Linked DNA regions of Danio rerio. The protein of the gene in region 1 interacts with the protein of each later gene in a biochemical or structural test. Links are inferred from orthologs where the notes say so. Each region holds a gene or a part of one and is shown in the gene's direction. Other genes may lie near its edges.

The links. The genes of interacting proteins can lie anywhere in the genome.
Region 2: the proteins of usp5 (region 1) and cacna1ha form a complex in vitro, tested with the Homo sapiens proteins (2 studies listed by BioGRID, with this or other methods). The link is inferred for Danio rerio from reciprocal best matches to the Homo sapiens genes USP5 and CACNA1H.

Annotation. Positions count from the first base shown.
Region 1 is NC_133191.1:12,331,918-12,336,242, reverse strand, and holds the start of usp5 (ubiquitin carboxyl-terminal hydrolase 5), read left to right. Parts: upstream 1-1,402; 5' UTR 1,403-1,571; coding exon 1,572-1,679; intron 1,680-2,104; coding exon 2,105-2,233; intron 2,234-4,325. UniProt on the Homo sapiens protein: Deubiquitinating enzyme that participates in a wide range of cellular processes by specifically cleaving isopeptide bonds between ubiquitin and substrate proteins or ubiquitin itself.
Region 2 is NC_133178.1:38,867,665-38,871,297, forward strand, and holds part of cacna1ha (voltage-dependent T-type calcium channel subunit alpha-1H), read left to right. Parts: coding exon 1-47; intron 48-1,639; coding exon 1,640-1,757; intron 1,758-1,840; coding exon 1,841-1,909; intron 1,910-2,000; coding exon 2,001-2,182; intron 2,183-2,517; coding exon 2,518-2,644; intron 2,645-3,541; coding exon 3,542-3,633.

The DNA of each region.
Region 1 (4,325 bases):
CAGTTTCCTGTTCTTAGCTGACAGGAGTGGCACCTGGTGTGGTCTTCTGCTACTGTAGCCCATCTGTCTCACGGTTGGACGTGTTCTGCATTTAGAGAGGCTCTTCTACCTACCTCAATTGTATATTTCAGTTACTGTTGCCGTCCCATCAGCTGGAACCAGTCTGGCCATTCTCCTCTGACCTCTGGCATCACAAGACATTTGTGCCCACAGAACTGCTGCTCACTGGATATTTAATCATTTTTGGATCATTCTCTGTAAAAACTAGAGATAGTTGTGCGTGAATATTGTAGTAGATCAGCAGTTTCTGTAATACTCAGGCCAGCCTGGCACCAATAACCATGCCACGTTTAAAGTCACTTAAATCACCTTTCTTCCACATTCTGATGCAGGATTTGAACTGCAGCTCGTCTTGACCATGTCTACATGCCTAAATGCATGGAGTTGCTGCCATGTGATTGGCTGATTAGAAATTTGCGTTAACAAGTACTTGAATAGGTGTACCTAATAAAGTGACCGATGACAAGTGTATAGCACAGATTGCATATTACTGAATGTTTGTGTTTAGCACTTGCATGCAAAAAATAAAGTCAAGTCAAGCACTAGTCAAAGACAGAATTTTAAAAAGGCTTGTTACGGTCAAAGTCATGAAACTTCAGTCAATGATGGATTAATTCTACCTTATACAGTCGGGCTCAACTACATTTTTTATTTTATGTAGTTTACCTGCCTCATGTTTTCAACAGCTGGTTTCACACCCATTAAAAACAAATTTTAACAATTTTTAGTTGTTGTGTGTAAAAAATTCCAACTGTTTAGTGTTGAGCTGCTTGTGTTTGCTGTTTTGCAACACAAGTGGCCTATATAACAGCGTACAGTGGATTTAGTGAGTGAAAGAACTGCTTAATTGTGCATAAAGAGTGCATGAAATTTGCAATCTGTGGCTAAGAGAATCTGGATTTGTTTAAAGTTTTGCTGGAAGGATTTAGAAAACTTGTCTAGGTCATTTAAAATTTGATTCACACAACGGGCTTTTTGTGTAAAAACTGTAAGCTGGTTGTGCACTTTCACTCCGAGCCGCACGAGGTCGGTATTCTTATTTACATGAGCTCAAAATTTCCGCTTTCTCATTTTGACAACTGTCATGGCTGCCGTATTACCGTAATACACAAAACACACAAGAAATCAGAATGCCGTTAAAATTCACCTTTACTGATAAAGTACTATAAACGTATCTGCTACACCATAAATTGTAAACTATTGTAAGAAATACCTTACACGAATGTGCACAGTTGCGTTTTGGTGGTCAAATATATTCAGGGTTGTTGAACAAAATATAAGGCGCTCTATTTGAGTGTTTACGGTGAAACACTTGCGGCTGTGATGAGTGCAGTGCGAGTGTGTGCAGCGCCCCTGGCCTCGAATGAACACACTGGATCATCAGCAGCAGCTTTTCATTGAGGGGAATCATAGAAACAAGGGGGCTGTCAGAGACTTCAGGAGCGGGGGCCAAAGAAAATCCAGGCGGGCAAGTGTGCGTAGGAAAGAAGGCAATTCCTGTTGAGGCAGAGATGACGGAGGTTAGCGAGATATTGATGTCGGTTCTGTCCGCGATTCGGGTTCCGAGGCCCGGGGATCGTGTTCACAAAGACGAGTGCGCTTTCTCCTTCTCCAGCCCGGTGAGTCCAGCAACCGCACACTCATCTTCACTCCGGGCATTTTTGTTTGCATAAGGCTGCTGAATTAGTTTTGTTTTCGTAAAGCCGAATGTTGGCTAACTCTCGCTCATTCAGTTGATAAGTTTGCACTATTTTCCCTTCATTATGTCAGGCGAGTCATCACCGCACTGTTGACTCTGCACTCTTTGGGTCACACCCCGAATAAACCATTCATTTACCTTCCTGCAACTTTTAAATAACCACTTCAGCTATCTGAGAGCTAATTATAAGGCTAAACCCCAGCTATATGCTGGTTTGTCTTCTTGAGAAGTCTGTATCATGCGCGTGAATGTTGTTTTGTTGTGCGCGCGCGCGAGACAGGCTCGCTGAGCGCGTGTTGCTGACCCACGGTGTTTTGCTAAAACAACTCTTTTCAATTGTTTTAGGAGAGTGAGGGGGGCTTGTATGTCTGCATGAACAGCTTTCTCGGATTTGGGAGTAAATACGTGGACCGACACCATGCCAAAACTGGTCAGAGAGCTTACCTGCACATCACCCGGACCCGGAAAACACAGGTAAGCTTAAAAAGGAAAGACAATGCGAATCCTCATTCGTGCAAACATTGTTTAAGTAAATGTTCGTAACTATTTAAAGCTACCATAAAGTCAACAAACGGAGTTGTATAATATTGGTGTCAGACAGGTTTCCTGAACACTCCTCCAGATTTCATTGGCTAGCCAAACAGATATTTCCGCCCCAAACACATGCCATTGGTTCAAATTATTTTAGATTGGCCAGGGCAAATAGAACATCAGTTCAAGTGTATGGCTGTTTCTCAATTCCAAGAACACAGACAACGGACTGGCGTTCTTGTGGAGACCGGTCTTGCCCAAGTGGTGCTCGCTGCAGAGCCATTTGGGCGAGCTGAGCTCCAGCGAGGGGGAGCTTGAGCTTGAGCTCCACCTTTTTTGCACTTCTTCTACGAGTGATGTCACTGGGGGTGGGGTTAGGGGTGGGGTTGGTGTACGCATTAAAACAGCTTTCAGGAGGCAGAGCGAGAGCTCATGCTCCCCCTCGCTGGAGCTCAGCTCAGCTCTGCTCAAATGGCTCTGCAGGGAGCACCCTCTCGTCTTGCCAGGTCACCTCAGAAGAACGAACTCTGGAGACCGAGAAAACACAGAATGTGTCCTATGAGAAATGAGATGCTGCGTTCTTCCTGATGCTGGTCACTAAAGGATGCTGTTCTTTATTCAGCTGCAATGACTTCTGGGACTTCTCAAGCGAGTTTTCCACTAAAGTCTGCATCGATGCATCCTTGATTTCAAGAATACATCCGGGAACATTTACGTATGCTCTGTTCTTGCGGTCTTAAGTTTTAGAAGTGAACTTTGGCAGTTGATGATGACGTTACATGAGGACACAGGAACGCATATTGAGAAACAGTCTATCTGTCTGTGAACTGCAAGTAGTAGAGGCATATTTTGCAGTTATCCCATTGAACCATACGAGATGTTGTTGGCAAGATGGTGGAAATACTTTCCAGAGATTTTCAGCAGAAGTTTTCATGCGTTTTCTCCAAATTTATTCATAACCTAATCATTTGATATAATAATTCATTTAGCAACTCCACTCGCTGACTTCATCCGTTTTCTTATGACAGTTAACCTACTTGGTGTTGCTCCCTGATGTTACTAACAGTACAATGGTGAGCCCATCAAAAGCAATTATGAATGCTTTGCAACTCGCAGCTTTACCTGCACAGTGGAGTAGGTAATACATAATAAGTGTGATGGTTGGGTTTAGATATGGAGAAGTTGTAGACTTTAATAACTGTGACGGTTGTAGGGCTGCTCGATTATGGGAAAAATCATGATCATGATTATTTTGGTCATAATTGTAATCAACTGATAATCGTTTTGAATAATCGTGAAGTCAAAATTATTCGCCCTTCTGTGAATTTTTTTATATATAAATATTTCCCAAATGATGTTTAACAGAGGAATTTTTCACAATATTTCCTATAATATTTTTTCTTCTGGAGAAAGGGTTATTTGTTTTATTTTGGCTAGAATAAAAGCAGGTTTAAATATTTTAAACATATTTTAATAGCTCAATATTATTAGCCCCTTTAAGAAATATATATTTTTGATTGTTTGCAGAAGAAACTACTGTTATAAAATAACTTAAATAATAACACTAATTAAGCCTTTGAATAGCACTTTAAGCTGAATTCTAGTATCTCGGAGAATATCTAGTAAAATATAATGTGCTGTCATCATAGCAAAGATAAAATAAATGAGTGATTAAATCTGTCATGTTTAAACTGAGCTTGAAGCATCTTCACTGTAAGAAAAAAACTTCAGCTACAAAAGTCCTTCAGTCAAGAGCAGTGAGGGATTTTCTCCTTTTGTTGTTTGATTAATAATAGAAACAGGCCACAGCAGGAATATTGCGCTGTCACTTTAAGAATAGTGCAGCTCTGATATGGTTTCTCTTTCACATGTCTTTAGATTCTCAACTTGTTTGTTTACTACACAAATGAGGGTTAATATGAATAATCACTAAACACCGCGCTCTGACACAAATATGCATGTATTTAACCATTAAAGCGCTCACATTAAGATGGCGATAGATGTATGTGCCCTGCTCGTCTCCGAGCCAGTCCGA
Region 2 (3,633 bases), on another chromosome or scaffold:
AAAGATCATGAGGAATGGTCACTTTACCTGTTCTCTCCTCATAACAAGTACGTAATTGTCCTGATATCATTTTACCACTATACTTAAGTGCATTTTTAGACATCATTTCTTTATCTTTATGTGTGACTCTTTATTTTTACTTCACTAGATTTGAAAGCAATACCACTCACTGATTCAAATAATTCATTCATTGTAAGGTTGCAGTTGATGACTCACTGATTCAAATGATCTATTCTGAGTGATTCTGCAGTTAATGACTCACTAATTCAAAATTATCCGTTCATTGCGAGTTTGCAGTTGATGACTCACTGATTCAAATGATCCATTCTGATCTAGTCTGCAGTTAACGACTTACTGATTGAAATGATTCATTTATTGCGAGTTTGCAGTTGACGACTTAATGATTATGATGATTCATTCTTAGTTAGTCTGCAGTTAACAACTCACTGATTCAAATGATTAATTCTTTGAGAATTTGCAGTTGATGGCTTACGGATTGCAATGATCCATTCTGAGTGAGTCTGAAGTTAACAACTCACTGATTCAAATGACTCATTCTTTAAAAGTTTGCAGTTGATGACTCAGTGATTCAAACGATCTATTCTGAGAGAGTCTGCAGTAAACAACTCTCTGATTCAAATGATCTATTCAATGTGAGTTTACAGTTGACTTCTCACTGATTCAAATGATCCATACTGATCGAGTCCTCAGTTAGCGACTCGCTGATTCAAATATTTAATTCTTTGAGAGTTTATAGATGACTCAATGAATGCAATGATCCATTCTGAGTGAGTCTGCAGTTAACAACTGACTGATTCAAATGATTTGTTCATTGCGAGTTTGCAGTTGACGACTCACTGATCACAGTGATCTATTCTGAGATAGTCTGCAGTAGACAACTCACTGATTCAAATGATCCATTCAGTGCAAGTTTGCAGTAGATGACTCAATGATTAAAATTATCCATTCTGAGTGAGTCTGCAGTTAACAACTCACTGGTTCAAATGATTTAATCAATGCGAGTTTGCAGTTAATGACTTAATGATTCAAAATATTCATTCTGAGGGAGTCTGCAGTTAACAACTCACTGATTCAAATGATTCATTCATTGCGAGTTTGCAGTTGATGACTCAACGATTAAAATGATATATTCTGAGAGAGTCTGCAGTTTATGACTCACATATTGAATTCTAAGTGAGTTTACAGTTATTGACTTACTGATTCGAATGAGCCATTCTGTGCATGTCTGCAGTTAATGACTCACTGATTCTAAATGAACCATAAAGAGCAAGTGTGCTGTTGACAACTTACAGTTCTTATTCAAATGATCTGGTCAGAGCGAGTCTGTAGTTAACGACTCACTGGTTCAGATTTTCCAGTAAGGAGTGCATTTCCCTAATCCTTCTTTCAAACTAAGTTTGCAATTTCCCAACTTAATTATCTAATTTCCGAAACAGGGCATACCAAAAATTTCAAAACAGTTTCCCAAACTTATGTGGTTCCCACAACTGTGCACCTGTTGACCTATACTGTAGTTTGAAGAGTAGTTTCCTTCTCATAGCCTATGATTCATGAGCTTAAAAAGATCTCAACATGATGAAATGTTCACATTTGTGATTGTTCTACAATTCTCTTTTAGGTTTCGGATGATGTGTCAAAAACTCATCTCTCACAAGATGTTTGATTATGTAGTTTTAGTATTCATCTTCCTAAACTGCATCACTATTGCTCTGGAGAGACCCCATATTCAACAATCTGTAAGTGGAATCTTTAATCTCATTTGCTATTTTGTTGCTTACTGAATATACAATGAAGTTTGTTCATTTGCTTTTTATTTTAGGAGCGATTATTTCTCCTCGTCTCAAACTATGTTTTCACTGTGATATTTGTTGCTGAAATGACAGTGAAGGTATGATTTAGAGTTTTATATTATTCTTTCTTTGTTAAGAGCATACATTTCATAAAACAGTTGCATAGACGTTATATGGCTTGTGTTAAAGGTTGTGGCCCTTGGTTTCTACTCCGGGAACCAGAGTTATCTAAAGAGCACATGGAATGTTTTGGATGGGGTGCTGGTCTTTGTGTCCCTCATTGACATTCTGGTCTCTCTGGCCTGGACTGGAAACCGAATCTTTGGCATCCTGAGGGTTCTTCGCCTGCTGCGAACTCTGCGGCCACTGAGGTGAGCCAGCGAAAGGTCAAAACATGCACGTCTGAGGCACAGGCGATCAATGAAATCCCCTACATGGTCATTGCTCCAGTTAAGGAATAAACTGAAGGTTAATTATGTGGTTGCATTATTTCCAGAACCTACACGCTACAAGCCCACTTACTGATTCAGCTTAAGCTTGGCAAAGTGAAGTCTGTTAGCCTTGAAATGATTTTAAAGCAGGCAGTGGTTTATTGATCTTAAAGGTCATTCAGACAATTGTGTCATTGTATAAATGTTAAATCTATGGAACGGAATCTAAACAGCTTGAAATGGCTTGTCTTTGTTTGTCTGTTTTCTCTCTATAGAGTAATTAGTCGTGCTCCTGGTCTGAAGCTGGTAGTAGAAACGTTGATAACGTCCCTGAGGCCCATTGGGAACATTGTGCTGATCTGCTGTGCTTTCTTTATTGTTTTCGGCATTCTTGGAGTTCAGGTGAATGCATCAGTCACTACATTTTATTGGGGCGAATTAGCTAAAAATATTTTTCAAATGGCAAGATATAAATGTAAAATATTTACAATATGAACAGGTCAAAGATGACACTATAGGTGTTCTCATCAAATTAAAATTGTCAATCGAAGCATTTTGACATCTTAAAACACCAGTGCTGTTCTAAAAATGCCAACACAGACTCATTCTGTGTTGTGGCTGCAGTATCGGGAGTGAAGTGTCTAAATAACACAGCTGAGAACCGGGTAATTAACTGTACTATGCACTCCCAGGGGTGTTACAGTCTGTATCAAAAAGTTGAGAACTTTTTTACTAAGGGGGGGTGGGGGTGATATTGTGGGAGTTTTCCGGAAGAAATAACAAAACAAGATAGTGGTGGGAGATGGGTCTGAAATCAAGGAGTGTTGGCTGGGATGGTGGGTGGGTCAATCTGTGCTTTTGAAAACACTATTGGTTGGCTTTGAGGAAGGAGGAGGGTGAGTCATTCGATCGGTCATTCAGTCAACAGCAGCCTCTGGTGGGTTTACACAAGAATAGCAGATGCGAAAGGCACTCAGGAGAGAAATTTGAGATCTTAAAAAGCATACACAGTGGTCTCTGGTGGATTTAAAACAAAAACTGCAAAAAAATGTAGTTCCTGGGACATATTTGTCGCTTTCTAGAAATATATATTTAGAGGTACATTTTTAGAATGAATCTGAGTTAAAGAAATGCTCAGCTGTGAGCACTTCATGAACTGATGGAGCATTTAAAAAATGCAGAGCATGGTTTTCAGAGTGGTTTTTAAAGCAATTGCATCTGTCAGCACAGATATTGGGATATTAAATTAGATTTTTGCAATGAGCATGCTATGAACATGTTTGCTTTGATCAATTGCAGCTCTTCAAAGGAAAGTTTTTCCACTGTGAAGGCGGCGATACCAGAAACATCACCAATAAGTCTGACTGTCTTCAGGCAAACCTCAAATGGAT